Linked DNA regions of Caenorhabditis elegans. The protein of the gene in region 2 purifies or fractionates together with the protein of the main gene of each other region. This does not show direct contact. Each region holds a gene or a part of one and is shown on either strand. Other genes may lie near its edges. The genes, in order: hmg-11, hpl-1, W02H5.8 and R09E10.1.

What was found.
Region 1: the proteins of hpl-1 (region 2) and hmg-11 purify together in Caenorhabditis elegans (affinity purification with mass spectrometry, with the first as the bait; one study listed by BioGRID). This does not show direct contact.
Region 3: the proteins of hpl-1 (region 2) and W02H5.8 fractionate together in Caenorhabditis elegans (co-fractionation; one large-scale study listed by BioGRID). This does not show direct contact.
Region 4: the proteins of hpl-1 (region 2) and R09E10.1 fractionate together in Caenorhabditis elegans (co-fractionation; one large-scale study listed by BioGRID). This does not show direct contact.

The regions. Positions count from the first base shown.
Region 1 is NC_003280.10:4,670,235-4,676,070, reverse strand, and holds hmg-11 (HMG), read right to left. Parts: upstream 2,987-5,836; 5' UTR 2,986-2,986; coding exon 2,901-2,985; exon of another isoform or gene 2,799-2,900; coding exon 2,470-2,798; 3' UTR 2,325-2,469; downstream 1-2,324. Other genes in the region: T05A7.3 (CUB domain-containing protein), read right to left, coding at 1-290; clec-140 (C-type lectin domain-containing protein), read right to left, coding at 342-592, 1,058-1,334, 1,401-1,598; T05A7.6 (Protein kinase domain-containing protein), read left to right, coding at 4,332-4,454, 4,952-5,254, 5,307-5,836.
Region 2 is NC_003284.9:13,242,837-13,249,519, reverse strand, and holds hpl-1 (Chromobox protein homolog hpl-1), read right to left. Parts: upstream 4,131-6,683; 5' UTR 4,093-4,130; coding exon 4,000-4,092; intron 3,925-3,999; coding exon 3,841-3,924; intron 3,788-3,840; coding exon 3,698-3,787; intron 3,646-3,697; coding exon 3,443-3,645; intron 2,770-3,442; coding exon 2,685-2,769; 3' UTR 2,476-2,684; downstream 1-2,475. Other genes in the region: K08H2.7 (uncharacterized protein), read left to right, coding at 1,094-1,153, 1,202-1,345, 1,588-1,651, 1,716-1,822. UniProt on the Caenorhabditis elegans protein: Seems to be involved in transcriptional silencing in heterochromatin-like complexes. Involved in epigenetic repression. Probably does not act as global transcriptional repressor. Plays a role in linking epigenetic regulation with the innate immune response.
Region 3 is NC_003283.11:2,644,990-2,655,953, forward strand, and holds W02H5.8 (Triokinase/FMN cyclase), read right to left. Parts: upstream 7,669-10,964; 5' UTR 7,655-7,668; coding exon 7,562-7,654; intron 6,556-7,561; coding exon 6,354-6,555; intron 6,211-6,353; coding exon 5,662-6,210; intron 4,080-5,661; coding exon 3,346-4,079; intron 2,335-3,345; coding exon 2,176-2,334; 3' UTR 2,066-2,175; downstream 1-2,065. Other genes in the region: W02H5.2 (SOCS box domain-containing protein), read left to right, coding at 1-29, 1,091-1,390; angl-1 (Endonuclease/exonuclease/phosphatase domain-containing protein), read left to right, coding at 8,094-8,273, 8,464-8,641, 9,675-9,735, 9,792-9,934.
Region 4 is NC_003282.8:10,317,449-10,325,945, forward strand, and holds R09E10.1 (LEDGF domain-containing protein), read right to left. Parts: upstream 5,303-8,497; 5' UTR 3,606-5,302; coding exon 3,310-3,605; intron 2,904-3,309; coding exon 2,825-2,903; intron 2,729-2,824; coding exon 2,657-2,728; intron 2,608-2,656; coding exon 2,386-2,607; intron 2,303-2,385; coding exon 2,131-2,302; intron 2,079-2,130; coding exon 2,035-2,078; 3' UTR 1,891-2,034; downstream 1-1,890. Other genes in the region: R09E10.2 (Reverse transcriptase domain-containing protein), read right to left, coding at 162-581, 628-804; unc-43 (Calcium/calmodulin-dependent protein kinase type II), read right to left, coding at 7,548-7,677.

The DNA.
Region 1 (5,836 bases), on a different chromosome or scaffold from region 2:
GAGAGATCCGAGAAATATATGCCAATACGGTATGCACCAAGAGTTGTCAACTTATAAACACAATATGAGGGGATTGGAAAAGTACTAGGATAATTGGGCGAAGTAATTGTTCCGGCATCAAAAAGAGCAGTTGAGTTACATCCTGATGGATTCGTTGGCGCTGGTGTGATAATCACAGGAGGGGCTGGCGTTGGTGGTCCACAGGTTATACCAGTTGGACGTTTACACAGGAAATACTGAGTCGCTGCACAATCAGATTTTGACCAAGTTAAATCAGTTTTAACTGCCATTTGAAAGCAGTTTCCAGTGGTTCCAGTACGAGGGTTTATGTGAGCAAAGTCTCAGTGGCTAAGATCAGACCAATATGGAGCCATGGGAGCCGTTGATAGACCGCCAATTGTAACACTCGATATATTGAATGGGCTGTAGATTCCTTGAATGTAGCTGAGCTCTCTTCTCGAGTGAATAGAGACCAGGTTTGCACAGTTGTCTTGACAGGATTTGTAGGCATCATTGAATGAAAGGATGGGAGATGTCGAGTTTTCATGAGACATTATGTAGCAGTAGCCATTGTAATTGTGAGCGCAGGAATCTGAAATTCTGGAAGATTAAATGAGAAGTAGAGAGGTGGTTTATCTTTTTTATATTATATTTGTTTATTTCTTCTCAACCATTCAAAATTTCAAAAAAAGCAATCAATTACAGACAAAAATCAAAATATAAAACAAACGATTGAATAGTGGGGGAGGAAGAAACAATTTAAGATGACCGATTGGAACAAGTCCGTGGCCAAATGTGGGTCTTCTTAGAAACACATTTCATAATTAGATATATCCTTATCGGAATCAGGTACTAAAAGTGTTACTAAAATATAGAAAAGGGTCGGTCTCACTTTTTGAGCACAATTGACAGTTTGTGATCAACTCCTGAAGCCCAATAAGTTCTCAATAAACTCTTGTACTCTTCCAAGAAGTCACGTTTCTGTCTTATCAAAATTTCGAAACTAAATCAAATTTATTGTTGCTTAAAATAATTTTTACTATGAAGTCACAATTACCTGCTCTTGTCATCGGAATTTCACAAACATATGCCATTTCCACATTATCACACTCTGAACTAATCCATTGTCCAGCCAAAGACCCACTAGTTGCACTGTAGACACATCCTCCAATATCGGTATTTGGAAATCCTTTTGCAAAATTGTTGAAAGCGGTATCAGTTCCTAGGTCATCATCAAAATAGCAAGAAGATGGATTATTGGATTCCAGGCAGTAGACACCAATCCAGAAGCTCAAGCCAATATTTCCAACAAACTGGGTGACTGCTCGGTTATCCTGGATATCGAGAGATTTTTTTTAATTTGGTCACAAAAAAAGTATGATTTTAGTAAATCAACTCACAATAGAATTTCTAATATTCACTAGAGTTCCTCCATAAGATGCGCAGTTGGCTTCAGCTGTCCGGTGCTTCACCGCTGAGCTAAACAGCTTCAAGCACTTGTTAGAGTTTACTACAGTAAATCCGTTGTTACAGATCAAAGAGTCACCAAAGGCAAATGTCAGGTACACCAGTACCAGGAAAATGAAGGAAAAGTGCATTTCACAAATTGAGTAAACTAGCAAACTATCAGCGACTGATTAGTTTAAATAATGGCATCGGGAAAGTACGGAAGAACTGATAACATAAGTTCGGCTACAAAAGAGATTATGAAATTTGCTGATGGACACACCCATTAAGTTTTTGATAATTTCTGAAATTCAAGTGATAATAATTAGTTGATTAGTTTTTATACCCGGCAAACCTCACCGAAAAATGAAAATTTCAAAAAAACGCAGAAATATATATAATGGTCAGTTCCATTCAATCTCAAAATGTTTCATAAAAGGTATGACTGAAAATACACTGTTTCTGCTTGCACTCGGTGGTTATGGAAGCTTTCAAAATTTGGAAAATCTACATAAATTGTTAGTTCCAAATTCGAGTGAAAATAATTAGTTGATTTGTCTTTACGCCTGGCAAACCCCACCAAAAAATAGAAAAAATATATAACCTTACGGTAGCTACAAAATTTTATTCGTTTCGAATCGGGGCACCGTATTCCTCCGTTCACGTGGTGTCAGACTGTCACATCGCTCCACTGCACACGAAAGGCGGGAGAATACATATTCAAAATTGCGCTGTGACGTCACAAAAGTTGAAGAACTATTTCCCGCTGTTTGTGTGCAGTGGGGCGATGGGACAGCCTGACACCACTTGAAGCTGCTCATTTTGACTTGCTCGAAATCATTTTGGTTGATAAGAGGTCTTTGAGATCGAATTGCATTGAAAATTTAATTTTATTTATTTTCACACTCACTTGACGTTCAAAAATCATAAATACATAAATAATGGCTCAGGAAATTAAAAGTGAAAAGGTCGGAGTATCTTAAAATGAGACGAAGAGGAGACCGTTAATGAAGATCCTTGGATCTAATTCTTCTTTGGGCGTCCACGTCCCTTCTTCTCTCCAGTCAAAGCAGCAAGAGCCGGTGTGGCGACATCAGTCTTGGCTGGCTTCGTTGCAGCAACATCCTCAGCGTAGCTCTTTGGTGCTCCACGAGAACGCTTTGGAGAAGCATCGGCGGACGATGAAGCAACTGGCGACTTGGCAACTGGAGACTTGGCAACTTGGTCAGACTTGCGTGGGCGGCCACGTGGTGCTCCAGAATACGGCTTTGGAGCCGGCTTGACTTTTGGGACCTTGGTTCCCTTTGGTGGACGTCCGCGTCCGCGACGAACTGGTGAAGATCCGTTGGCGCCTGAAAAAGATAATTTTTAATGAATTAGTCAGATTTATTGGATTCTAAAAACTGAAATTATCTTGAATAATACTACAATTTAAAAGGCAAAAAAAAACGTACTTGATGACTCGGTCACAGCTGGAGAATCTTCTTGAACTTCATTGGTAGAAACAAGGCATTCGTTGGATCCAACTTCTCCACTCATTCTGAAAATTTATACATTTTTATAATATAAATACAAAGCAAAAAATAAAAAAGTAAAAGAAAAAAATTTTCAAAAAAATCCAGAGACCAATTCAAATATCGTATGAAACTGGTGTGAGACAAACAAGCAAATGTCAGAAAAACTCCCTGAACTAGATACGGAGAGATCCGTTCGTTAGAGCGACGCGGTCGCGCTGCGGTTTAGAATTAAATTCAAAACTCGGTCGCGTGCGAGAGACGCAGGCGTTTGGGACACCAAACGAGCGTGCTGACCTCGAACATGGGAAAGAGCGAAGAGGAGTAAAGAGGGGAGAATGTGTCACACTGCAAAAAAAAAATGAGTAAGCAATTATTAGAGCGAGAATGTGTGTGGGGCCCTTGGAGGAGGGATTAGAAATTAAATCGATACATAATTTGGAAACAATGGACAAACAGATGTTCTAATGTCGTGACGATGTGTGCATGGAAAATAAATAGGCAGATTGTATCGTTTTTAACATTCAAACAGCTGCGTCTTGGCAACATGCCAGTGAGATCCTAAGAAAGGTTATAGGCATCATGGGAAAACTGGAAAAAACGAGACACTTGATTCTGACGTTATGTTTGTTTAATGTTAAGTATAAATGTTCCTGGTTGTGACAGAGAAATAAATTGGACGATGTAGAAAAATCTGTGGATTAACTTTGCTTCAAAAAAATCCCTAGATGTGGGTCACTATAAAAAATAGACCCACCTGATGTCAGCTGCTGTAAAATTCTTTGAAATGAAGTTTTATAATTTTGATACTAGGAAACATGTAAAACAAGTAATTGGCAACATTTTCTTAGTTGAAAATATTTTGCTAATATCATAGTTTTTCAGTTATGCGTGTTTGAACAACTCAAGCACAATCACATAAAAAAACTGAAAACGAGAAGAGTTTTGGCCGATACTGTACGTTTTTGTTTTAAATTTGAGCACAAATTTTGCTACTCTACCTTAAAAAACAGTTATTCTGGAACTATCCATAGAATTTTTTAAATTTAAAAACTTTTAACCAATTTCAACAATTTTTGAAATTAGGTAAATTTTTTTTGTAACTGGGAAATTCTTGTATAATGCTCAAATAAAAATACAAAAAATAACATGTGAGAAAATAATATTCAAAAATTTTCCAATTACAAAAAAATTAAATTCACAACTTTTCTACGTGACAACAAGACCCGACCTTTCCCCAAAAATTTGTCCGTGGAAGAACAAAAAAAAACAAATCACGGGAATCCTCCCACCTCGGCCAGTTTCAAATTTATTTTTCAATTTGGCGATCATACCATCTGAACGAGAGTTGGGGCAAAATTGCACTTCAAAATGGGTACAGCGGATGAGACGGCAAAACAATCAAAACTCTCAACAATGCAATCAACACAGAAAAGGAAGCCTGGCTCAAAACCGAACGGCGGATTTTTGTCTTTTCGAGGGAAGAAGCCGAATGTAAGTTTGGAGAATGTTGGCGCATCTGTTTTAATAAAGATTTCGAGTTGCTTGTTATGCGGTTTTTATCGTAAATTTGTACTTTTTTGTTTGGAGAGTCAGAATGGTTAACGTGAAAAGAGACATTCGATACTTTTGGTTCTGTCTAGGGCTTCCACGAGCGGCAAGCGTGGCTTCAGAGCCTGCCTGAAACGTGCCCACCTCACGTCGCCCTCTTCGCCTCAATTGTGACATGCAATCAAATGCTTCGTGTTTGCACCAAAGATTCTTACGTCTGACACTTTGGATTCATCGTGACACTATACAAGATGCAGGAGTCGCGATGTGAGGCAGGCGAAGGTCGCCTCCAGGTGGCCACGGCAAACTTTTCGGTGTCTGCATGGAAGCCTTAGGTTCTGCCTGCCTTAATGCCTTAAAGATATGATTCTTGAAACTGGCTTAGCCGTGTTGTAAAATCTAAAATTTGTGCTATCCACAATTAAACCTAAATTTTTCAGACCACAGGCGGTGATCTTAGATCGAGTAAATCTAAAAGTAGAGTCAGTTCGTTAAATTCGAAAGGTCCACTGAGTGGAAAAAACAAGAAGAAGGATAACTCGGGTCGTGCTCGCAAGAAACCTTCACCAATGAAGTGCTTCGCGAGTGGGGAGATTGTGGAAGGAGTTAACCAGTACAAGGTGACATCGCAACTGCGGAAAAGTTCGAAGCTTCTGGACTACGACGTTTATTTGGTGAAGGATACGGAATCGGGAGACGATTATAGAATGAAGGTGGCGAGAAAGGATCCACAGATTTTGAAGGTGAGAAGTTTTGGAAGAACAGGAAGGATGTACATTTTATTTTCAATTTCAGACTGAAGCAGCTCTTCTCCGACGTCTTGAGAAGATTCCTGGTGACAAATGTTTCATATCAATGATAGAGTATGGCAGTATTGTGAAGGACAAAGTGGAGTTTCTGATCGTTTCTCCATACGGTGCCACGTTGAATGAAATAATGAAAAAGGCCACGATGGGACAACTTTCAATGGACTGCTCATTCGTCGTTGGTCTCCAGATGCTCAGAGCAATTCAGAATCTGCATTCGATTGGCTACATTCACCGAAACATTAGTCCAGCATCGTTTCATTGTGGGCTAGGAATGGACGAGCCAACTCTGTTCTTGCAGGATTTCCGTCAAGCTAGGAAGTTCGAAGAAAACAAGAAACATGTGACTGCAAGAACGAATGTTAAGATGTACGGTTGTGGACGCTTCGCGAACAGAGCTTGCCAAGGATCCAAGGATCAGGGACGAAAGGATGACTTGGAAAGCTGGGTGTACACTTTGTTCTATCTGATGGATAATGGATCTTTGAGTTGGAAGCGGGAGAACAATTCACTAGTGGT
Region 2 (6,683 bases):
ATATGTTGCCTTTCTTCTTTTTTTTTAAGGTACCCAATCGTAATATCACTATCATACCAAAAAGATCATCACGTTCAATTCCCTGCTTCAATTGCAACAAACTACACACGTTCTGTAGATTTACTAGAAACACGTGGGGGACAGGAAACAACCTTTTGGAGCATGATGCGTGGAGGAATAATCGAGTTTCCCTAGAATAGCGAGGAAAATATTTGGTTGCCCGAGTAACGCTGAAACTAAATTATATATTTTCATCGAAGTTCGACCTGAGCCGCATTTTAGCATTCAGATCTGCAATGAAGATGCCGAGTTTCTTAGTGTTGCATATTTTATCAATATTCTTTCAAATTAGCAGCTGCTTCAATTGTACGGGAAATAATACGTTGTGCCAGGTATTGGGAATTGTGTTATCAAATATTGCTGATTTTATAGAGCTTGAAATTTCAATAATAGATTTTATAAGATCCGAAGAATAGCTAATAATAAGAGAAACTGACTGAATCATAAAATGTTTAAAAGTAAAACTAATTACCTATTCAAAAATTCCCTAAAAACACTCAGAAAATAAAAAAAAATCTGGTCAAATCTTTAAAAAAAAAATCAAAAAGCCACTGATTAAGGTGTGCAAACAATTTGGAGAAACTGACGGAGTCAATACCTTTTATGCTGACCAGTTGTGCTCTATGTACGCGGGAGTTCAGGATACTTCGGGGAACTACACAATCCCAGAAAGATGCGAACTTTTGTTTAGCAAGCTGCATCGTGAGTGTTGAAACTTGAAAATTGGATTAGGGGGAAGTAACTAAAAATTTGTAATTGTGAAAAATGAGATTAGAAACGTTGAGCTCTTGAACTTTTAGATTTTTCAGCTTGACGTTTGATTTCTGAGTCTAGCTTATATGTCAAATTTTTCTATTTGGTTCAAGAAATTAATCCCAGAAGTAAATGTATATAAATCAGGGAATGGTTTTATTGCATGAAAATTGTTTGAAAAAAACTCCGTGTTCATTGATTCTTGTCCTTGAACTGACTTTGTACAAAAGATTATCTACGTCGATAAATAGATACTTGTTCTCTAGCATCTTCCTGTCAAATGGCAGTATTATCGAATGTCGATCTTTTGGGTTCTTACATACAATACGGAATTCGCACGGTGAGTGTCTCAAGTTAACGGTGAATTTAAATAAGTCACATATTACAGCAAGAGCATAGTATGCTGTTAGGTTTGAATAGAGAAAATTGCTCTTCGAAGTGGAATTGGTGGTCTAGATTGGAGAATAAAACAATCACAGCTGGAGTCGGGAATCAGTCAGAGCCATGTGACATTGTGCAAGGGGCTTTTGTGGTGAGTTATGATAAATTTATTTCTAATTAAAATGCAACTTAGCAAAAGAAATACAAAATTAGATTGGGTGATTCGGATTTCTTAGTTTTTGCTTGCAAAAATAATGTAACACAACATTGATAATTGGAAAAATACAATAAATATTAATAAAAAATTTAAAAAAATTACTTTAATGGCAGCGAAGAGTGAAAACCAAAGTGAGACTTGAAGTAAGAAATGATGACGAAACATCATTATTTCAGGGGTTTAACTTGGTTCGAATAACTCCTTCGAATTTCACACCGACCGGCATTTTATGTCAATGCAGTGGGTTTTAAAACGCAACATTTCTGATAAGAAGTAGCAAAGACTACAGTTCAATATGTTTCAGGTGACCAGGTCTCTTTCTTGCCAGTGGTTAAAAGTATTGATACAGCAACACGGCTCACGTTTTTCGCAGTGATGTTGATAACTATTTGTAGGAACCAAATTTTATGACATTCGTGGTACGAAATAAAGTTTTTCTTTAAATGTTTGTCAAATGAAATCGAGTAAAATCAATCACGTCAATTGAAAATACAATTTAAATATTCATCATACGAATAATTAAGGATGAGCTTTCATAAAAACCTTCATAAAACAAAAATGAACTGTTCTGACAAAAACAGGTTTGCAAAATTTAGGCTTCATAAAATCAGTTTTTTAAAAATGTGAAAAATCTGATAAGTCAATTCAAACAAAATTTTTTTTTCAAACGGACAAAGAACTGTGTTTATATTTTTAATGTGCTCTAATAATTATATGATCAAACGGTTCTAATAAACAATTTAAACTTTTCAGGAAATGTTGCGCTTTCAGACAACTAGCCAATTTACAAGACAACGTCAGATTATCAGAAAGGTTTGTTTTAGAAGCAAAATTATGAGTTGTTAAAAACTGAACAAAATTCTTAAAGAAATACTTTCGTTGTAAAACACGTTGTAGCGTGGTCATTATTGACTATTTCGGTATTAATGTATCAACCTGTCACATTTTTGCATCCCAGCACGTGATGAGAAGATAGAAACTACATCTTTCTTTTCTGATACGGTAACATAAAATCAGAAGAATGTGCGTTTTCGTTTATCTGGTAAAGGATTGTTTCTAAAGCAAATATTTAAATAATTTATTAAAGGAAAAAACAAAATGATGTGAAAAAATTTAATATAAAAAGTTCAAAAATTTGTTAAGAAAAATGGGAAGCGAACAAAGAGTAAGTCCTTCATCAACGAAATCTCAGCGAGAAAATTCACGAAACGTACTGAGAGAACAATCAAATTATGGGAAGGGGAGAGGGTGCGATATAATTTTTGAAATTAAATTAGCTCATTCCTCCTGGGATGGTTGGCGAAACTCCTTGAAGAACAAGACGGGTTTCGTAGAATTTGATGACTTGACTTGGAAAACTGAAAATCACACTTTATTGAAAACTAATATTTTTGATGACTTTGCAGTAGCGATATTTTAAAAAGTTTTGAATATTGCAAGAAATCCCTTGCGACTTGTGAATAGCGCCAACTTAGGTTCTTTGGGGCGAGTTACTTTGCCGTGACAAATGTTTTATCTTGACTCAACTTATTACAGTATCACACTACGTTCAAGGCAAGTTTTTCTAATGCCTTTTAAGTGTACGAGAAGCACTTTCTTAGATGTTAACTACATCATGAAATTCGAGGTTTCATATTTTCCATTTATAAAAATAACCTATTATTTTTGGCTGTTCTGCTAGCACGTATTGAAGGCCGAATTTGCTCGTTCCGCAGAGCTTCATGAATTTTAGGATGCATTTATATACTTTAACAGTACGTTAAAGAGTCGATTGTGAGCATTTTTAGATTTTTTGATTTGCTTTAAACTTATAGTATTGCCCTGTTTATTTTCTGTCAAATACCAGAAAAAAACAAAAATTTAATAAACATGAAAAATCCAGGCTTGCAGGAATATTAAGCTTTCGACTTTCACCATATTTTTCAATTTTGTAACATTCTAAATCTTTTTCAGACTCTTTCAAATCCGAATTATTTTTTGTCGCTAATTTTAGAGGGAAAAACTAAAATTTTTATAAACGATAATATTTACCGAACATTGGCTTCTCTCAATGGAATCAAATGCACAGAGTCGTCGCTGAACTTGCACAAGAAATGCAGTTCTCCGGGTGCCTTGGTGATTCCAATAATTGTCTTCAGTGTTTTCCCAGCCCATTCATCGCTGGTAGATGGTTGGAGCTCTGCAGAAGACGAAGTCGACGGTTGTGGGGAATATCGACGTTTGCGTGTTGTGCGCTGCAATTTTGTTACTATGTATTTTCATCTCAATAAATTTGAAAAATCTCACCTTTGCCGCTTCCTTCTCGTATTCCTGAATCATCCTATCGCACTGGAGGTTCTCAATTGGCTCCCAACTGCACTCGGACTCTGGGAATCCCTGAAGCACAAATTATTGTTCAAATAACATTTTAAGGACGAAAATGTACGAACCTGCCATTTTATATAGTACTCGCTTCCGCCACGCGTCAACCGTTTATTCAACACTTTTTCCACCACGAAGACGTTGCTGGAGGACTAGAAATATATTTTTCACATTAATATTGCCGATCCTTCAATTTTTTCTCGATTTTAAATTTAAAAAAAACTCACTTCCTGAAACAACGGAGCATCTTGTGCCTGCTGAGCTTCCCGAGCTCTGAGTGAATTCCCGCGAGTGCTTCGGACAGGGTTTTGACGTGACATTTTGGCGAAAAACCACCTGAAACCAAAAATCGATAGTGGAAAAAAAACAAGAGGAGACGAGAGTGAGAGAGTGTGCCGCACTGCAGACTAAACGCGTACAGCGCACGGAAAAAAGCGGGAGACATAGGCCCGGGTTTTCAACAAGTCTTTCGATTTGAAAATGGAAGAGTGACCGTGAAAAGGTGCAAACCTATGTCGGCGGCCACTGTCGACAAAAACAAATTTTTTTATTTCATCTTGCTTAGCCTCTCTTGTATTTAAAGAGATGCCGGAAGTCGAATTTGCACTCTTTCACGGTCACTGTTCCATTTTCTAAAATAATTTGTATTTGAAACTCAAAGTTGATTTTCTTCTATATTTTTCTATTATTTCAAAAAAAACCAGACCATCTGAAGTTTTCACAGTCACTTTTTTTAATTGTGCGCAGATTCTTAATGAAACAGGCTAAAAAGTAACATTTGAATTGACTTTCGTGCAATTTTCCTGGAAATCATACAACAATCAATACAACAACGATCATAAACTGCGAACATTTGTAGATAAAATGTTTCATTAAGAAACATATGGATACAAACTTTGAGAAGAGAGGGGTTTGAGAAGAAAAAAATCATCTAAAAAAACGTGAGAATCTGGAAGCTCATCTGCGATTGCCCTTGTTTCGAAAATTACAAACCTTTAGCCCATGTTCCAAAATACATAAATAAGTTACTGACATATTTAACCACTTGAAAACGTGAAAATCTGATAGCTCACACTTAATGAGCCGTATCCCCAAAGTTGAAGACTTATAGCTTGATTTACAAGCTAAATTAATTCGTGGCCTATTTATTACCGTGAAAGTGTGAAAATGTGAAAAGTCAAATTCAATTACCCTTAACTTCAAAGATAGACCCATACGGCTCAAGATGCAAAATAATTTGGGTCGTGACCTATATAATTGAATGAAAACGTGAAAATCTGAAAGCTCGTACTCAATTACCCATAGCTTCAAAGTTAAATCCATATAGCTTAATTCTCAAAATAATTTGGGTCATGACCTATATAATCAAGTGAAAATCTGAAAATCTGAAAGCTCATACTCAATTACCCATAGCTTCAAAGTTAAATCCATATAGCTTAATTCTCAAAATAATTTGGGTCATGACCTATATAATCAAGTGAAAATCTGAAAATCTGAAAGCTCATACTTGATTACCCATAGCTTCAAAGTTAAATCCATATAGCTTAATTCTCAAAATAATTTGGGTCGTGACCTATATAATAAAGTAAGAATGTGAAAATCGGAAAGCTCATATTCGATTACCCATAGCTCCAAAGTTACAGCCGTGTAGCTCAATTTTCAAAATAATTTGGGTCGTGACCTATAAAATCAAGTAAAAATCTGAAAATCTGAAAGCTCATACTTGATTACCCATGGCTCCAAAGTTACAGCCGTGTAGCTCACCTTTCAAAATAATTTGGGTCGTGACCTATATTGTCAAGTGAAAATGTGAAAATCTGAAAGCTCATACTTGATTACCCATAGTTCCAAAGTTACAGCCGTGTAGCTCACCTTTCAAAATAATTTGGGTCGTGACCTATATTGTCAAGTGAAAATGTGAAAATCTGAAAGCTCATACATGATTACCCATAGTTCCAAAGTTACAGCCGTGTAGCTCAATTTTCAAAATAATTTGGGTCGTGACCTATATAATAAAGTAAGAATGTGAAAATCTGAAAGCTCATACTTGATTACCCATAGCTTCAAAGTTAAATCCATATAGCTTAATTCTCAAAATAATTTGGGTCGTGACCTATATAATAAAGTAAGAATGTGAAAATCGGAAAGCTCATATTCGATTACCCATAGCTCCAAAGTTACAGCCGTGTAGCTCAATTTTCAAAATAATTTGGGTCGTGACCTATAGAATCAAGTAAAAATCTGAAAATCTGAAAGCTCATACTTGATTACCCATGGCTCCAAAGTTACAGCCGTGTAGCTCAATTTTCTAAATAATTTGGGTCGTGACCTATATAATTGAATGAAAACGTGAAAATCTGAAAGCTCATACTCGATCACCCACAGCTCCAAAGTTACAGCCGTGTAGCTCACCTTTCAAAATAATTTGGGTCGTGACCTATATTGTCAAGTGAAAATGTGAAAATCTGAAAGCTCATACTTGATTACCCATAGCTCCAAAGTTACAGCCGTGTAGCTCACCTTTCAAAATAATTTGGGTCGTGACCTATATTGTCAAGTGAAAATGTGAAAATCTGAAAGCTCATACTTGATTACCCATAGTTCCAAAGTTACAGCCGTGTAGCTCAATTTTCAAAATAATTTGGGTCATGACCTATATAATCAAGTGAAAATGTGAAAATCTGAAAGCTCATACTTGATTACCCATAGTTCCAAAGTTACAGCCGTGTAGCTCACCTTTCAAAATAATTTGGGTCGTGACCTATAAAATCAAGTAAAAATCTGAAAATCGGAAAGCTCATATTCGATTACCCATAGCTCCAAAGTTACAGCCGTGTAGCTCACCTTTCAAAATAATTTGGGTCGTGACCTATATTGTCAAGTGAAAATCTGAAAATCTGAAAGCTCATAC
Region 3 (10,964 bases), on a different chromosome or scaffold from region 2:
GGCAGACACTTGGAGCACGAGATTTTCAGGTCTCACCACGATTCTACTCGAGGAAAATTGGCAAAAAAATTCGATTTTTTTTAAAATTTTTTCGAGAAAAACTTGCCGGAATTGAAAATTTTCGGCAAATCGGCAAATTGGCGAAAATGAAAATTTCCGGAAAACCGGCAAATTGCCAAAATTTCTTACCAATTTCTAATCGAGGAAAACTGAGAAAAAACTTCTTTTTTTCAGAGAACAACGACAAATTTTAATATTTTCAAATATCGATTTTATTTTTTAATTTTTGTTAATTTTTGTGAAAATCGGAAAATCGAAAAATTTTAGGCTTTTTTTCCGAAAAATCGATTTTTTTTTTCATTTTTCCGAAAATCGAATAAGAAAACTTTTTTGGTCTTCGGCCGCTCGAAAAATCAAAAAAAAAAAGTTTTTTTTAATTAAAAACTTTATAAAACATATAAATTCCAAAAAAAAAAAATTCAAAAAAAAAGTTTTTTATTTCTTAAAAAAATAAAAACGAAAAATTTTGCATTTTTCCGAAAATCTGAAAACAAAATTCAAATTTCTCCTAAAAACAAAAATTGGAAAAAAAAACCTGCATTTTAAGCTATTACCGAAGAATTGATTTTTTTTTTTGAAATTTTTTTATAAGATTTTCCGGAAAAACGAAAAATCGGAAAAACAAAAACGAAGAAGTATACAAAAAATAATCGAAAAAAAATGTTTAAAAAATTCTATTATCTCTTACATGAGAAATACGCAGCATTTTAAGCTGTTTTTCGAATTTTTTCAGAACTTCGGTAGAAAAAAATTTTTTTGATTTTCTCGGAAACCGAAAAATTAAAAAAAAAACCAAAAAAATGTACAGAAAATTAACAAAAAAATTTTTTTTTAAAATCAATTTTGTTCAAAAAAATGTCCCATTTTTACGAAAAACGACAATTTTTGATCTTTCGGAACATCGAAAAATCGAATTTTAGTGAAATTTCGGCAAACCCGAAAATTTGAAATTTTCCGAATTTCCAAAAATCGGAAAATTTGGCCATTTTTCCTTAATAACCTGAATAACAAAAAAATTCCAATTTTCCAGCGCGGAGCCACTCAATCAATGTCGGGCTCTTCAAATGGATCATCAACTCGTTTTCGGCCACTCGACGTCAACGTCTCAGATCTCTACTACCAAGACGGACCATCATCAGCGGATCCTTCTACTCCAAATCGATCTGCTCAATCTCCGCGCCCCAATGCTCCGCTGCTTCACGATACTCACCCACCGCAGAGCCCGTTGGCTTCAGGCGGCGGCGGCGGCGGCGAGAATCGCCCTCAGCCTGTCTTCTTTCGTGCCATTAACAAGAAGCTGAGCTCTCCGACGCCCCGAGTTCAAAAATAATCACTTGTTTAATTTCGTAAAAAGTTATAGCGGCTCAAAAAATGGGCTAAAATTTGTTTTTTTTTTAGCTAAAATTTGAAATTTGACCAACTTGTCAGCGGCTGGAAACTAACTTTTTTGAAATCACCATCTAGTTTTGGGTATGTAAGTTAATTAACTTGCGTTTTCAACTTGATTTAGGTACATTTAAGGTCGGCGGATCACCAGGCGTTACCAAATTTTACAAAATCTGAATCGACTTTAAAGGTGGAGATCAGGAAAATGAGTTTTTTACTTTAAAATGCTCATTTTCCTGATCTCCACCGTTAAGGTCGATCCAGATTTTGTAAAATTTGGTTATTTCTGGTAATCCATCGGTCTTTAATGTACCTAAATCGAGTTGAAAACGCAAGTTAACTAACTTATACACCCAAAATTTGACGGTGATTTCAAAAAAGTTAATTTCCAGCCGCTGAAAAATCGGTCAAATTTCAAATTTTAACTAATTTTAGCCCATTTTTTGAGTCGCCATAACTGTTTTTTGAGAAGTTTTCAAAAAGTTTCATTATGAAATTCGGTGTTTTCAGACAATTTTGAGTTTAATAAAGCAATTTTTATTAAAAATCGATTATACCACCTTTAAAATGTGTATCTTCTTATTGTGCATTTGTCTATTTATTTATTTATACGATGATCTTTATTTAAAGTATTTTTTATTTCTCGACACGAAATTTTTAAATTTTTGCTCAAACTATGTATATGGTTTTATTATCCATTTTTCTCTATCTCTCTCTCTCGATCTCTGATCATTTTTCGCTTTTATAAGCCGTCCAGCAAGCTCTAAGCCAGAGTGAGATTGCCGTGGCCCCTGCATCAGGCTTCGTTTGGGCTTCTGACGATGTGTAGCTGGCACGGCCCACGGTTGCCGTTTGGCTTGCAGTCGCTTTCGCCGCTTTTTCGGAAGCCTGCAAATTATTAATTTTCAAAATAGGCCTAAAACTCAAAAATTCCACAGAAAAAAATCGCGAAAAAAAAGGAAAATCCAACTTTAAAAAATGTAATTTTTCAATTTTGGCTGATAAAATCGCTTCAAAAAATCCAAAAATAGTTTCGAATTCAAAAAAAAAAAAGGACTTTTTCTCATTTTTGGGTGAATTTTCTCCAAACGAGAACTGCCACCAATCAGCGCATCGCTCCGCCCACTTTTCAGCCAATCAGAGATGTGATTGGTTGAAAAGGGGGCGGAGCGAATCGCTGATTGGTGGTCGTACTCAGCCAAAATTGCGTTTTTGTGGCTTTTTTCTGAATTCGACACTATTTTGGATTTTTTGAAGCGAAATTTTCATTGACGTTACATCCTAATTAGGCTAAAATTCAAAATTATCGCAAAATACAAATTTCTGGTGAATTCCCCCCAAAACCAGAACTGCGACCAATCAGCGATTTGCTCCGCCCACTTTTGAACCAATCAGAGCTCTGATTGGCCCAAAAGTGGGCGGAGCGCATCGCTGATTGGTCGTACGCTTCATTTTGGTAGGTAGGTTCTCAGCCCAAGTTGAAAAATCAAACTTTTAAAAACGAGATTTTTAAAGATTTTCGGCTAACTTAAATTCCCTGTTTGAATTCCCTCCAAAATGCTCAACTACGACCAATCAGTGCGTTTCGCTCCGCCTCCTTTTCAACCAATCAGCACAATGTGAACGCTGATTGGTTCAAAAGTGGGCGGAGAGATGCGCTGATTGGTCGTAATTCGCATTCATGAGGGCACTCTTCCAAAATTGAATTCCCTTCAAAATGCTTAACTACAACCAATCAGCACATTGCTCCGTCTTCTTTTCAACCAATCAGGCACTATGGGCGGAGCTCGACCAGTCGCTGATTGGTCGCGAGTTTCATGTTGCAGAAAGGGCTGGATTTGTTATTCTTTCGCGTTTTTTTTGTGGTTTCCCCGAATTTCAAACATTTTCCCAACCCACCTTAACCGCCGCCTCGAAGATCGCATCCAACGATTCCTCATTCCCACTGAATCCCTTTCTCAACTCCTCGACCATCGCATCCAATCCATCAACCATCGTCCGATCTCCGACTCTCGCGCCTCCGTACTTTTGAACCGCCCGATTCGCCTTGTCCAACGCCTCCAGAATCGACGTTCGATCGATCTTTTCTCCTCTTTGCGATCTTTGAGCGAAACTCTGCGCCGCCGAGCTGAACATCAACGCGTACAGCGCTCCACTGGTTCCTCCGACGGTTTGCTCAAAAATGATGGAAAGCTGCTTGAGAAGTGTCTCCGGATGAGTGTAGTTGAGGCCTGATGTCTGCTTGCGAATCGCTTCAGCTGCTCCGGCAAACGTGCTCCCACAGTCTCCGTCACCGGCGTACGCGTCGAGTTGATTCAGATGTTTCTCGGATTCCAGCATCGCATCCACAACTCCTCCGACGCATGCTTCCACGAGCTGGGCATTCACAGTTACTCCAGACGCTGGAATTTCTGAGATTAGGTCGCCTTGGGACGACGAATCCGAAATTTCCTGATGATCTACACATTTTTGTACTGAAAGTGCTGGAATCCATCCCGGCGCCGCCGCTGGAGCATCCAAGTACTGTAGCATAGAGTCATCGGCTCTCAGAATGGTGACACTGACGCCATGACCGTCTAAAGATGTCATGTAGATACCGCTGAAGAATCGAGTGATTCCAATTTTGTGATCTTCTGAAAAAGTTGGATTTTTTTTACAAAGATCGGGAGCAGCGTGGGTGTCGTCGAAAAAAAACAATTTTCGATTTTCCCGAAATTCGGAAGTTTTGGGTAGGCGGCAAACGATTTTTTTTCCAGCAAATTGGCAAATTGCCTGAATTGAAAATTCCCGGCAAATTGCCTAACTTGAAAATTCCCTGCAAATTGCCGATTTGCCGGAAATTTCGATTCCGGCATTTTGCCGATTTCCGGAAATTTTTCAATTCCCGCAATTTGCCGGAAATTTCGATTCCGGCATTTTGCCGATTTCCGGAAATTTTTAATTCCGCCAATTTGCCGATTTGTCGGAAATTTATATTCCGGCAATTTTCGAATTTGCCAGAAATTTTCAATTCCGGCAATTTGTCGATTTGCCAGGAATTTTCAATTCCGGCAATTTGTCGATTTGCCGGAAATTTTCAGTTCTGCCAATTTTACCAATTTTGCCGATTAAAATTTGAAATTCTGAAATTTCCAAGAAAAAAAATGTGCAAAACTACAATTTGCCGGAAATTTCAATTCCGGCAATTTTACCAATTTTGCCGATTAAAAATGAAATTCTGAAATTTCCAAAAAAATGTGCAAAACCGCATTATGCCGAAAATTTTCGGCAAAGCGGCAAATTGTCGGTTTGCCGATTTCCGGAAATTTTCTATTCCGACAATTTGCTGATTTGCCGGAAATTTTCGATTCTGCCAATTTGCCGATTTGCCGGAAATTTTTAATTCCGACAATTTTACCAATTTTGCCGATTAAAATTTAAATTCGGAAATTTCTAGAAAAAAATGTGCAAAACCACAATTTGCCTGAAATTTTTAATTCCGGCAATTTTACTCATTTTGCCGATTAAAATCAAAAATTTTGAAATTTCCAGAAAAATGTGCAAAACTACAATTTGCCGATTTGCCGTAAATTTTCAATTCCGGCAATTTTATCATTTTTGCCGAATAAAAAATTTTGAAATTTCCAGAAAAAATTTTTTTTAATTTCCGGCGATGCGGCAAATTGTCGGTTTGCCGATTTCCGGAAATTTTCTATTCCGACAATTTGCTGATTTGCCGGAAATTTTCGATTCTGCCAATTTGCCGATTTGCCGGAAATTTTTAATTCCGACAATTTTACCAATTTTGCCGATTAAAATTTAAATTCGGAAATTTCTAGAAAAAAATGTGCAAAACCACAATTTGCCTGAAATTTTTAATTCCGGCAATTTTACTCATTTTGCCGATTAAAATCAAAAATTTTGAAATTTCCAGAAAAATGTGCAAAACTACAATTTGCCGATTTGCCGTAAATTTTCAATTCCGGCAATTTTATCATTTTTGCCGAATAAAAAATTTTGAAATTTCCAGAAAAAATTTTTTTAAATTTCCGGCGATGCGGCAAATTGCCGGTTTGCCGATTTGCAGTAAATTTTCAATTCCGGCAATTTGCCGATTTGCCGGAAATAATCGTTTGTTAACAAAAAAATTGCGTGATGACGTCACAATTTTCTGGGCGAAAAATTCCCGCATTTTTTGTAGATCACACCGATTTTAAGCTATTCCCTATTCCTCACCAAAATATCTCAAAACCTCTCCATTCACGATGTTCATCTCCAACTGCGAAACACTACCCAAATTGTTGACAAGAACCACAAACTTCTCGCCTTCCCGCATTTCCATCTTCGAGCGTAGTGTGTCCAACAAGCTGTGCACAATTCGATTGGCACTGCCAAATTGAGCACGAAATTTGCCCGGCTCACCGTGAATTCCCAGTCCTACTTCAATCTGATCGTCCGGCAACTCGGTCTCTCGATTTTTGCCCGGCAAGCTTCCCGTATAAAGTGACACGCCGAGTGTACCCATTGAGCTCACAACTTTTTGAGATGTCTCGTAGATCTCATCCAGCGATTTTCCTTCCCAGGCCATGGCTCCAGCAATTTTAATTGTTAAAACTGCACCCGCCAGACCTCTACGTCCAACTTTGCTATTCGGGCTGTCAATTGCCACGTCATCGGCGATCGTGACGACTCGAGCTGTGCCACCTGATGCGTTGAATCGCTCAGCCGCCAAACCAAAGTTCAGACGGTCTCCGGTGTAGTTAATGACGAACAAGATGGCACCGGCTGCAAAAAAATTCGGTTTGATCTACGTAGATCTACAAAAAATGCGGCAGAGTTTTCAACTGATTTTTCTTGGTTAAGAACGTGATGACGTCACATTTTTTGGGCAAAAAATTCCCCCGCGATTTTTGTAGATCAAACCGTACCTTCTCCTCTAGTGGCCTCCAATGCCGCCTGAACGTTCCTCGACGGCGGGGAAGCGAACACGTTTCCGGCAATTGCAGCGGTCAGAAGACCTTTTCCAACATATCCGGCAGCATACGGTTCGTGTCCTGAACCACCTCCAGCTATCAGGGAAACGTGGTGCGAGGGGTTGAGATCGGTGATGTGAACAACTCGTCGGCAGCTCTGAAATGTGCCGGGGCTTGTTATTATCTTGGAATTGGGAGATTTTTGTGCCAAAATTACGGTGACCGGTCTCGACGCGACATCTTCTTGATTAGTGATAAATACAAAAAGGCTATGCGCCTTTAAAGATTACTGTAGTTTTAAACTCGCGTTGCACGTGGTTGCAGAGTGTCTCATTTAGGTTTGATCTACATAATTCTACAAAAAATGCGACAGAGTTCTCAACTGATTTCGAATGGCTAGGAACGTGTTGACGTCACATTTTTTTGAGCCAAAAAAAATTCCCGCATTTTTGTAGATCAAACTGTAGTGAGACAGCCTAGCACCACGTGCAGAAGTACGGTGACCGGTCTCGACACGACAAGTTTTTGATTTGTGATGAATACCCAAATGTGTGCGCCTTTAATGCTTACTGTAGTTTTAAACTTGTGTAGCTGCGAAATTTTTGTCGATTTTTCACGGTTCTTTGATATAAATATATGCAAAAATGAAAAATCAATAAAAAAAATTCCGCTGCTGCAAAAGTTTGAAATTACAGTAATCTTTAAAGGCGCACACCTTTTTGTATTTAACAAAAATCAAAAACTTGTCGTGTCGAGAGAACGGATACCAAAAATTGGCTCTTGAAAAACCGAAAAAAAAGGCAAAATTCCGCAACGAGTTTGCAAGTACAGTACTCTTTCTATCAAAAATCGCAAAGTTTTGCATATGGGTAATATTCAATATCATGAGAACACAGAATCTCTGAGAATGCGTATTGCACAACATATTTGACGCGCAAAACGTCTCGTAGCGGAAACTACAGTAACTCTTTAAAAGACTACTGTAGCGAGCTGTTGTCGATTTACGGGATTTCGATTTTCGAAACTGATTAAAGCCCGTAAATCGACACAAGCGCTAGTCATTTAAAGGGTTACTGTGGTATTCGCTAGGAGAAATTTTGCGCGTCAAATATGTTGTGCAATACGCAGCATTCTCAGAATTCTCTGTTCCCGGTAATACTAACCTTATGAAATTTGACATTCGAATTCGATGAAACCAGTCCAAAAAGCGCATCGTCGACAGCTTCCTCCGCTTTGTTCACAAATTTCTTCGACATTTTTATTAGCCCAACTGAAAATGAATTAGGATGGGAAAATAAGAAATTTTTAAAAAAATATGACAATATGGTCACGGAGAAAACACGACGTGGGGTGATTGTGTTGATAAGATAGGATTTTTTTGTGTTCATTGATCAATTTTTGGCAATTTGACAACAAAAATGACCACTGTTCAAAGTACAGAAACACGGGCTTCTGGCCATCCTCATTGAACTTCTTGCGCGCTCCATTTACAATCGCCCGCCGGACAACGCGTGGGAAAGTGTCGTGTACTCCACACGGACAAATACGTTTAGTTTTACAAGCCGCGACGCGACACGCAACGCGCCGTAAATCTACCCCGAGCCAATATGGCCTAATTCGGCAAACTCTTCCTTTTCAATTAAGAAGAGGGAAGCCAGAAGTGTGTGTGTGCAGACATTGAGAATTTTTGCAGGCATGCCACGCCAGCCGCGGCCAAAATCCAAACGACCTACGGACCAGCGGAGCACGCGTGGTGGTGCAGGTGGTAATGGAAGAGTTTTCAAACGTGGCGCCGCTAGCGGCCGCGGCCACGGCCACAGAAGATCATCGCAATACACGTGGAACAAATTTTTGGCGGATGATGATGCCGCGAATGTTAGTGGTTAACCACACACGTGGTGTCTGGCTGTTCAGTTTGACCTACAAAAAATGCGGGAATTTTTCGCTCCGGCAAAATGCGACGTAACTCCCGCGTTTTCTGTAGATCAACGTAGATCAAACCGAAATGGGACAGTCTGACACCACACGTGGTTAAAGCATCTGAGCGCATTTTCGATATTTCTAGCAGCAGCTTCCGGCTCCGATGTACAGACCGCCACCGAAACCCATCAAAACTATTCGTCTCGGCGATGATGAAGCGACGCCCGGATCATCATCATCACCACCATCCCTACATGCACCATCATCCGTAGATCAGCAGCAGCAGCAGCCGACAACGTCGTCGAATTTTTGTGCTAGTTGGTGTGAGTTTCACACAGACAACGGAGGATCTGCTGAAATAACATTGGCTTTCGCATATTACGGGAACACAAAATTCTGAGAATTTTGCGTATTACACAACACATTTGACGCGCAAAATATCTCGTAGCGAAAACTACAGTAACCCGTTGAATGACTACTGTAGCGCGCTGGTGTCGATTTACGGGATCTCGATTTTTTTCGTATTTTACAATATTTTATCGGTGTATACATTATTTCCGTAAATCGACACCAGCGGCGCTACAGTAGTCAATTAAAGGGTTGCTGTAGTTTTCGGTACGAGATATTTGCCCGCGTCAAATATGTTGTGCAATACGCAGAATTCTCAGAATTTAGTGTTCCTGTAATAGTTTTTGTTGATTTTTCATTTTTCATTTTAATTCGTTTGCAAACGCATATATGTCGTAATTTCACAAAATTTCAACACGCCTTTTTAAAGGCGCATGAATTTATTGAGACGGGTCCCGGCGCGCAAAAAAAAAGTGTAGTATCTCCCTTGCATTTTTCAACGAAAATACTTTGGGATTTTCGTCGTTTTCTTTGCATTTTTCCGTTAAGATTGTTTTAACTCATGTCAGTTTCAAAGTACAAATCAGGTGTGGGCGGCAACCGATTTTTTCCGGCAAATCGGCATGTTGCGGGAATTGAAAATTTTTGGCAAATCGGCAAATTGCCAAAAAGGAAATTTCCGGCAAACCGGCAAACTGCCGCCCACTCGCTTTTTTTGTGTGTGTTTTTTTTTGTACTCTGAAACTGATTTTTAAAACAATTTTCAACAAGAAATTCGCTAAAATATAAGTAATTTCAATGAAAAATGCAAGAAAAACGGCTACCAAAAAAAATTTTGCGCGCCGAGACCCGATATCTGAATAATTCTGTGAAATTACGATATATACAGTGAAGAATATGCGTTTTAAAGCAAAATTAAAATAAAAAATCAATAAAAACTGCGAAATTCGCGAAAAAGCTTGAAAATCAATAAAAACCGCAAAAAAAATCAATTTAATTTATTTAAAGTGGCAAAAAACCAACACCTGACACGGACGAAAAAAGTGGAAGAGGTCGTTTTGGATGAAAGGTACATCTTAAAATGCTCTGAACTATTGTAGAAACCGCCGAAAAAAATAGTTTTAGACCCACGGGCTCCCAGGACGACAGCATTATTGTTCTCGACGATGACATTTTCGAAAAAACGAGAAAAAAGAGCTCAGAGCCGAGGGATCTGAAAAAAAAAGTTTTTGGCAGACAGGAGCCGGGCACGACCGTCGGCAGAATCGGTAAATAAATTTATTTTTAATTCCGACAATTTGCCGGTTTGCCGGAAATTTTCATTTTCGGCAATTTGCCAATTTGCCGGAAATTTTCAATTCCGACAATTTGCCGGTTTGCCGGAAATTTTATTTTTTGGCAAATTGCCAATTTGCCGGAAATTTTCATGTTCGCCAAATTGCCGATTTGCCGGAAATTTTTCAATTTCTGCAATTTTCCGATTTACCGGAAATTTTCATTTTCGGCAATTTGCCAATTTGCCGGAAATTTTCAATTCCGACAATTTGCCGATTTGCCGGAAATTTTCAATTCCGACAATTTGCCAATTTGCCGGAAATTTTCAAATCCGACAACTTGCCGATTTGCCGGAAATTTTAATTTTTGGCAAATTTGCCGATTTGCCGGAAATTTTCATTTTCGGCAATTTGCCGGTTTCTCAATTTGCCGGAAATTTCAATTTTCGGTGATTTCCGATGAGCCGATTTGCCGGAAATTTTAATTTTTGGCAAATTTTCCGATTTGCCGGAAATGTTCATGTTCGCCAAATTGGCAATTTGCCGGAAATTTCAACTCCGGCAATCTGCCGATTTGCCCGAAATTTTCAACTCCGGCAATTTTCCTATTTGCCGGAAATTTTTCAATTTTTGCACTTTGCCGATTTGCCGGTAATTTCAATTCCGGCAATACACACCCACGCGCGCGTTCCCTCAGAAGTCTTCTAGTCGTTTTGACGCAGTTTGTACTTTTTTTTCTTCCAAAATTAAATCTAGAATCTCAGGAGATGTCCAGTCCAGCTTTATTACAGCATTTCTAGGCAAAATTTATAATTGTGGTGATTTTTCGCGTCTCATTTCAGTTTGATCTACAAAATATGCGGGGGAATATTTTTTCCAGAAAATTTGTGGTGACGTCAGCACGCTCTTAACCAAGCGTCTCTTCTCCCGCATTTTTTGTAGATCAAATCGAAATAAGACATTTTGACTGATTTCTGTGTAACAAACTTTTCTCTACAAAGTGACATATTTTACGGCACATAAA
Region 4 (8,497 bases), on a different chromosome or scaffold from region 2:
TTTCTTCTTACTTTTCTTTTTTTAACCTCACACGTGGCCATAATGTCGTAAATCCTAATATATTTTTTGGCAAGATTTTTTGTAATAGACTAAAGTTGAAAAATGTTTCATGTAAAATTATTTATTCAAGTTAATCAATAATGTTAGTTCTAGTTAAGTTATTAAGGTGCACGGTCTGTCTCCTTGCTTCTTCTCTTTGTATTCCCTTTCTCCTTTTTCAAAACTTCACTTTCATCAATAATTGGTTCTTTAGAATACAGTTTTCCAATTTCCACGTACTCTCTTCTCTTCCGATCCTTGTCAAACTTTTTCTTCGGGAGCTCATCTTCTGGAACTACTTTCACATTTTTCGATGGAACCAAACGGTAACGAGTTGGCTTTTCCACCAAAAGATTAGCGTACTCCGAACTGTATTTCCCCTTCTTTTTCTTTTCAAGAGGAACATTTTCTCGTTGAGTATCATCGTCCTCCAAACTTTGTTGAGTAGTCATGGACTGGGTCCGAGAGAATTCAACGGTAGGCATGGAACCTTTGCTCTTGTCGTCGTTTGCCTTTGGTGCCTTTCCCTTTTGAAGATTCGCCTGAATAAAGAATATAAGTTTTAACAATACAATTCAGAAACATTACAATCTGTTGGCCAATCAGATCACTCATCTTCTCCAGGACTTTTGTTGGTGGCTCAGAAGGATTCGATGGATCGTAGTTGAAGTTCACTGTCACTGTCAGAAAATTGTTGGTAATCGATGGAAATCCGTCTTCTAATTGAGAGCTTGTGATGTGCATTTGAGTGTTATTCCTGGACATGATAGATGTCGATTAAGCAGGATGTGTTGGTGTCAGTTGATTAGTCGATTGCGATGAAAACTGATATATTTTGATTCCCTTATATACATAATTGTTCAGAGTTTTTTTTTTCTAAAAACATGTTTTCATTTCTGTTTTGGAGTTTGTTTTTTTCATGAACTTATTTTTTCATTTGTTTGACGTGATCGATACTAAAATGTTTGTTTGTTTTTTTTTCACAGAATTTTTTTTAAATATTAATGCAGATTTTTGATCCAATATTAGGGCTGATTAGGCAGCAGCTCCCGCAGCCCCGTAGTAGCACAGTATTAATAACATCTCGTGCCAATTTTCATAAAACTGAATATAAATTGGGTTGATGTTGCTAAAGGGCTGTAAAGGGCTGAAATGGGCTGAAGCTGTACTGCGAAGGGCGAAGGGTATGAGCTTTGTCCTGAGGGGCTGGGATCAGCCCCCTTTTAGCACTGTAGCTATTTTCCGTCGCAACCCATCGCAGCCCTTTGCAGCCCAGCTTCATCCCAGTTCAGTTTTTCGCAGCCCTTTAGCAACATCAACCCAATTTATATTCAGTTTTATGAAAATTGACACGGGATGTTATTAATACTGTGCTACTACGGGGCTGTGAGGTTGCTGCCTAAGCAGCCCTATCCAATATTAATTTAAACTAATTCTTGGCCAAAATGTTGAATTCTACAGGTAACGTATATTTACTGAACTTCAAAGAGGCTTCAATTATATCCAGGCACTTTTAGGCTTTCATTCCTACATCGTGTTTTCAGTATTTTATTTACCATTCGTACTTGCCGAATGCCAACATGCCTGCCTTCATGCATGTCGCCGATTTTCTGTATTTTTTTCGTGATCCTACTGCACGCCTGCCTGCCTATGTGCCTACCGCCTATTTCATTACTTTTAATATGATGTCACATTTTGGTCTTCCAGATATCATATAGTTTGTTCTATCCAATGTTCCTTTGAAAATTGAAAAATCAGAAATTCAATGATATCGTTAAAAAAATCGAATATATATTCTTTTTTTCTTCTTTCCTGTATTTACTTATGTTTTTTCCTTCTGAATACACACAAATTTCTCTCCGTCTCTCACTTTATTATCATAAATCATCATAAAAAATTATTGGTGACGTCACAGTTTACATTTTTGGAGGTGCTGTGAAGAACTGTTGAAAGTCGAAGTTCTCGGCGTGATATGAAGACTTTGGAGGTTGTCGTTCAGCGATTTGATGCCAAGTAAAAGCGGATGTACGATGGAAAAACTGAAATGATAATTTGTGTTTAAATATAATATTTAAAATCAAACAAACTAACGCTCAACTCGCCGAAAGCACTTTGAATTTCTCCGAGATGCATATATTTTGGCATTCACATACTTTTCCTTGATGAACTTCGAAATCGCTTGAGCACTTTCATCGCGAACACTTTGGGCTTCGGGCTTCTGCTGTTTGACAATTTTCAGCAGGTCTCTCTTCATATCCACATACTGAAAGGTGAAACTTTATGGTTACATTTATGAAAAACTTCTGAAGAAACTAGAGCTTTGAATATTGATTCCTGATAACAAACCTTCGGATATTGACCGTAAAGAAACTTCTTGACTCTTTTGAGATGTTGGGGCCCTTGAGTCTGCAAATTTCTCTCAGCTGCTGCCAGAACGACAGTATTTTTTGCAATTGCATCGTTCATTGCTGGTTGCAACTTTGTGTCCGTTTTCCAATAGTTTTGAGTCAACTGTACTTCCTTGTTCAGCTTCTCCGCTGCCGTTTGTCCTTTGTCGCTTACAATGTTCTAAAATACGTGTGGTTGAGCGAAATAATTCAAGTAGAATGTATATTACTTCCATGTCAACCGTCCCGTTTCCACGTCTCATCATACTTACGAGTGTTGTGATGATTTGCTCAAGGGCAATCTGAAATTTAGCAAGGTTTTATGAGTTTCTTTGGAATAATTTTGTTGTAAAAACCAAAAGTTAGAAAATAGAGTGAAAGTAAATTTGCATTCAAACCTTGTATTCTTCCATCAAACGAGCACTCTTTGTAAGTTCGGCGTCAAGTTGCAGAGCAGTAATCTCGGGTTCGTCTTTCCTGAAATTTTTTGTATTAAAGTAAATTCTGACCCCGCCTTGCTTGTCCAAAACTAATACAGTGAGATCAAAACTAAAAACGTGATTTTTTAATTCGTAAAATATTTCATTTTTAAAATAAAACATTCAATTTACTGTTATTTTGTAATTTTGGCAACGCGTGGACTCTCATGTATGGAATCCTTTTTTTTTCAATCCATACTATGGATTGAAAAATCAGTGATCCAGTTGTTTTAATGAACTAGAATGATAGAGTATTCAAAAAATTGCAAGGATACCCAATTTTCTACCACGTCATAAACTTGTGCCAGTGGAATTCATTTCATAATATTTATATAATTTAGCACATGCCAGAAAGACGGCTTCCTTTCCAACAAACATCTAAAAGTGTCGAGTAAAATACATACGGAAGGGAGAAGTTTTTCAGCTTTCCTTCGCGAATACTTTTCTTTGATCGAGACGATCGTTCTTCTACTTTAACAACAGATGGCTTCATGGTTTTCACATTTCCTCGAGAACTCTTCACATCTCTTCTTGCAGTCTTATTATTCTTTTCCTTTCTTTCAGCTTTCGATAAATCTGATGGTTTCGGCGGAGATTTGGTTTCCTTCTCAAGACACTTTGCCTTTTGTTTTGGCCCCGCCGGCACCACTTCGTTTTCTGAATCTTTCTTCTCCGGTGAGTGCTCATCAGGACTTGTCATTTGTGTTCTAGAAAACATGACCATTTTCCTTTAAAAACCCTGTGTTTAGCTTACCTGACTCCAGGAAATCTGAATATCGATTTCTAATTTGTTAGCAATAAATTGAATTTCGTCTATGAACGTAAAAGAGGATATATATCATTATCCGGAACAACACGTTCATAAATTATTCAAGAATTATTTAATGCAAATAGTAATTCAGAAATGTAAGAAAACAAATCAAATTACAACTTTCTTCATGTAGTCAAGTGCCAGGTGGCCCACTTTGCTGTAAACACCCAAAGGTGTTACTTTTGAAAATCATTGCTTTATTCTTCTGTCTTTTTCTTGGAAAGATTTTTGATAATAGACAATAAATGTAAAATATAACGGCCTCCAATTTTTTAAAGCGATTTCTGTCTTGTTTGAAAACTACGGTGATGTACCTATTAGTATTGCATCCACATTGCTTTTAGTTCCACACATTGTTATTTGTATTTCTGTCTACGTAAAAAGCTCTATTTGGACTAGAAAAATACAAAAAAAAATTATCGAGATTGTATATTTGATAATTGTAGTTTTAGTGTTAAAATGTGGTCTATGACTTTCAAAACGACAACAAAGTACTTGAATATAACTCTTGAAAAGTATAAGAACCGAAATAGAAGATTCGAATCAAAGAAATCAGTCAATGGCGGATGATTACTCTCAAATGCCAAAGATTAATTTGTAGTAAGTTCAATTTATGAAACTGAAATTTGATATTCTCTGAGTTCATTATTCCAACCAAACATTCATTTTATAAAAAAAGAATTACTAAAAAAGTTCAAGTTCTTCGATTGGCGGCGATCTCCTTCTCTAAACGAGAAAGAAACTTCATTCCCTTTTTCGACATGAACTGAAAAGTATAACTGTTTTTTCTCAGTAAAATCTGTTTTTTTCTCAGTAAAAAATAGACCCGAAGGCGCGAACGAAGGCGCGAGGCAGGCGAACAAGCTTGACTTTTTTCAATTGAAATCGTGTTTAAAGGAAGATAGAACAGTTTTAATTTTAATTTCAAATTTTGAAAACTCTGATAATATACATGAAACAGTAAAATTTTAATTCGAAGTTTTTTTTGAAATTCGTTTTTCTGTCGTTTTGCCTAAAAGTAGGTTTATAGTTACTTAAAAAAAAACATTTCAATAAAATGGGCTTAACTGGCAACAACAAAGAATTCTCTCAAAAATGGCTCCAAGCCTGTGTGCTCTCCAGTTTCAATATCAATCTTCATAATTACCACTTCAGTCTTGCACTCACTCTGCCACAGGCAAAGCGGGTACGGTCCGTTTACGGATCTTGGACCGGGAACGGACCATTAACGGGCGAACTACGGATATGAAAAGCGGGACGGACCAATTACGGGCAAACTACGGGGAATGTAAAAAATGGTCATTAAGAGGAAAAAATGGATTTTAAGAAAACGAATTTTTTTTAATACCTATGATACCAGTTGGCTAATTCAAGCATTTTTACGTCGTTAAATGCATTATTTAGAGAAAAAACCACATTTACCGACCGAGATGGCTCTTGAGCCGTAGTTGGGCCGTTTCCGGTCCGTAGACGGTCCGTCGCCGGCCCGTAGACGGACCGTAAATGAACCGTCCCGGGCACCAAATTTTTGTTTTTGAAAATTTCAGGTTCTAGCATGGAAAAAGTGCTCAAATTAGCCAAAGGAGAGTGTAGGCACTTCAAAAACTCCATTTTCATGAAAAAAAATTCCTCTGGGCAACCATTTTGTCTATCATCCGTCCAACTGGTCCGTACACGGCCCGTAATCGCATGCGATCTAACTGAGGCTATTAAGCATGACATTGTGTGTAAAAGAGGTTATATTAATGTAATCCTATAAACATATCAATAAAAAAGATGAAATGCCACAATTGGGTAGATACTGTGTATACGCAACGTTCACTCTCTCTGCTGGTCTTCTTCAGCTGAGCAACAGGAGCATTTTTTGAAATATCATGAAATATTTTACTAACAATACATTCTGGAATCATATCGTTTCTGTTCCGTGTGTATTTTAAGAAATTAAGGTATCATTCAAGTAGAACGCATATACCTTATTTCGTCTATTAGTATTGCAACCCGGTCCAATCGAAAATTAGTCTTGCATGCAAGACTAATAGAGGAAATATGTAAGTACCATTTCTGTATTACAAGTAGATGGAGCACGTATAGGTAGATGTTGAGAAATATGCGAAATAAGTTCTGAACTACACGAAACTGTCAATTGTTATCGTTCGCTTTCATATAAGTCCAACGGCAAGATGGAGAATCAGAAACTACTGAAAATACAATCGAAAAAGTTGGTGTAAGACGTGAAAACCAGAAGAAAATGCGCGAGCGCGAGCTGATTGCTATTTATGCGAAGTCTATTGATTTTCCTCGCGTGCGCGAACGGCCAAACGGTAAGGTGATGGGCCAGTAATCAATCGACAGGCAGTGGACAAGTTCAACCCCGGCTGAGGCAGATAGAATTGCTACAACGAAGGATCACCGGAAGACGGTCTGGAGCAAGACCGGAGCTCGGTGGAGCATTGGGAAAGAAAAAGGGGCAGCTGGAGGGTGAAAAAATTTTCCCATTTTTTAGTCTCCTTACGGTTCAATTACGGTCCGTTGACGGACCGGGAATCGAACCGTGAACTGTTCTTAAATTTGAGCCGTTCCCGGTCCGTGAACGGACCGTTTTGGGCACTTTCCGCTTTGCCTGTGCTGCATAATGTGAGCAATTGTTAGGTTATCCGGAATCATATGTAAAATTTTTTCATAAACCTTCAATTTTTTCTGGACATAGATTACGTGTTCAGTGCCTGCTGACAAAGAAAAATACACAGTAGTTTTAAAGTAAAATATGACTTGTTTCATGTTCTTCATAAAACGGTGTAGATTTTGTCATTGTACTTACATAAATTTCTTTTAATTCCTCAATTTTGTACCTGAACTGTTGATTTTCCAATTTCTAAATCCTATTCTCAAAATCCACAATTGAAAATAACTATCAAAATAATGCTTTGTGGAAATAATGGATCCGTTTGAACTCACAATTAGCCCGTTTTTATTTAAATTTTGAAAATTCTTATAATATACATGAAACAGTAAAATTTTGCACCGATAATTTTTTTAATTTGTTATTTTTCTGTCGTTTTCATTTAAAAGTAGGTATGTAGTAACTTTACATTGTATTCCAGCCAATTTATTTTAAGATTTTTTTGTTGCATTTGTCATCATATCGATCGAAATGACAAATAATACATTCATTTTTTTTCGGATCCAGACGAAACACATACTGAATTGACAAAACAACGAGAGGTTGTATAAGTTGAGAGCAAAAAAAAAATAGAAAACGAGTGATCTCGAGACGGGAGGGAAGGTGGGGGCGTTCCAATAAAATACAAATTGTGGGCCTTGTGCAAATGGAAATATCATAGATAAAAATGATGGTGGGGGAAACTAACAGATTTTAAGAAGGGGAAGTGAATGGGGAAGGTTAATTTATTGGAGGGAAGAGGGGTGATTCACAAATAAATTAGAAAAAGAGAGATATATTGTTTTAATCGAAAATGCTATTCAGATTTGTTCAGAGTAAACGAGGAAAGAACAGGGGAGAGAAAACAAGAGAAGCTTTTTTTGAAATAAAAAATTGAAAAAAAAACCGACGACACTTTTTTGTGAGACTATAAAAGGAGAAAAAAGATGGGTCACCCAAAAACCATATATCTGAGAGAATGGGACAAGAAAGAGAACAAGAAAAAAGCAGATAATGCTATGAAAAACGAAACATAATTGTTTTTTTTGGTCATCAAAACTGAATTGAAATGGCTCAAAAGAAAATATCGGGGAAAATATTGCCTAGAGAGATGATGATGACGTAGATGATGTTAGGAAACGAAGAGAAAAATAGGCATAAAGAAGGTTCTTCTAGAATTCAGATACTGTTGTATTTGTTGATGGTTGTGTTGATCGATGTACATGAACACACACCCAACGGCCTTGTTTCTTTGACCACACACGTGATTCTTGTGACTGACGGGTATGAGCTTCTCCGTTTCTGAAAAATAAAGAGTGAAAGGTAAAAATTGTATGTAATACGAGACAATGATATGTTGTTTTCCACAGATTTTTGACCAAAAACTAGAAAAATAAGTTCCAGAAAAAAAAACTGTTTCAAATTATGTTGATTATGCAGTACAAAATAAAGAATATAAGGGAATTTTTTTAAAAGTTTATTCCAAGTGACACTAACCTGTGATTTGTTACTTTAGATAAATTTTAGAAAATTGTGAAACCGAACTCTGAATTTTCTTGGCAGAATACGGATATGCTGCACCGATTCTTACATTAGATCACTTTTTCGCAAGTTTCATGACTTGCCAGAGTTTTAAAAACACGCTTTCATTCAGAAAATAGAAACTCTTTATAAAATTTAGTAATTTGGGGTCATTGTGCAATTATTACAAACGCTATTTTTTTCTTTAATTAGGCTTCTTTGTAATTTCTTTATTGTTCATTTGGGTAATTTGGAAATATTTTCTAGATTCTCACAACTATCCAGCAATCCAAGTGACAATAAAATAAGTTCATCTTTACGCGGTTTTCTCACTGAAACAAAACTTCCACTTTCATTTAAACAATCTAATCAATTCTGTTATAAATTCTAGAATCTCAACCTCGTTCAAAATTCTAGGAAGAATTTCAACTTTTTTTTTTTTTTATCTCTGGTTTTTTTTCAGCTAACGTCATTAAGTACTAGGAGTTTTAAACTTTGACATAGAAACAACTAGGAATTTAACAATTAACAAATATCAAGTTACAAATGTGTTTGTTTCATTTAAACTAAAACTGATGCAAGGCATACAACTTTTTAAAAC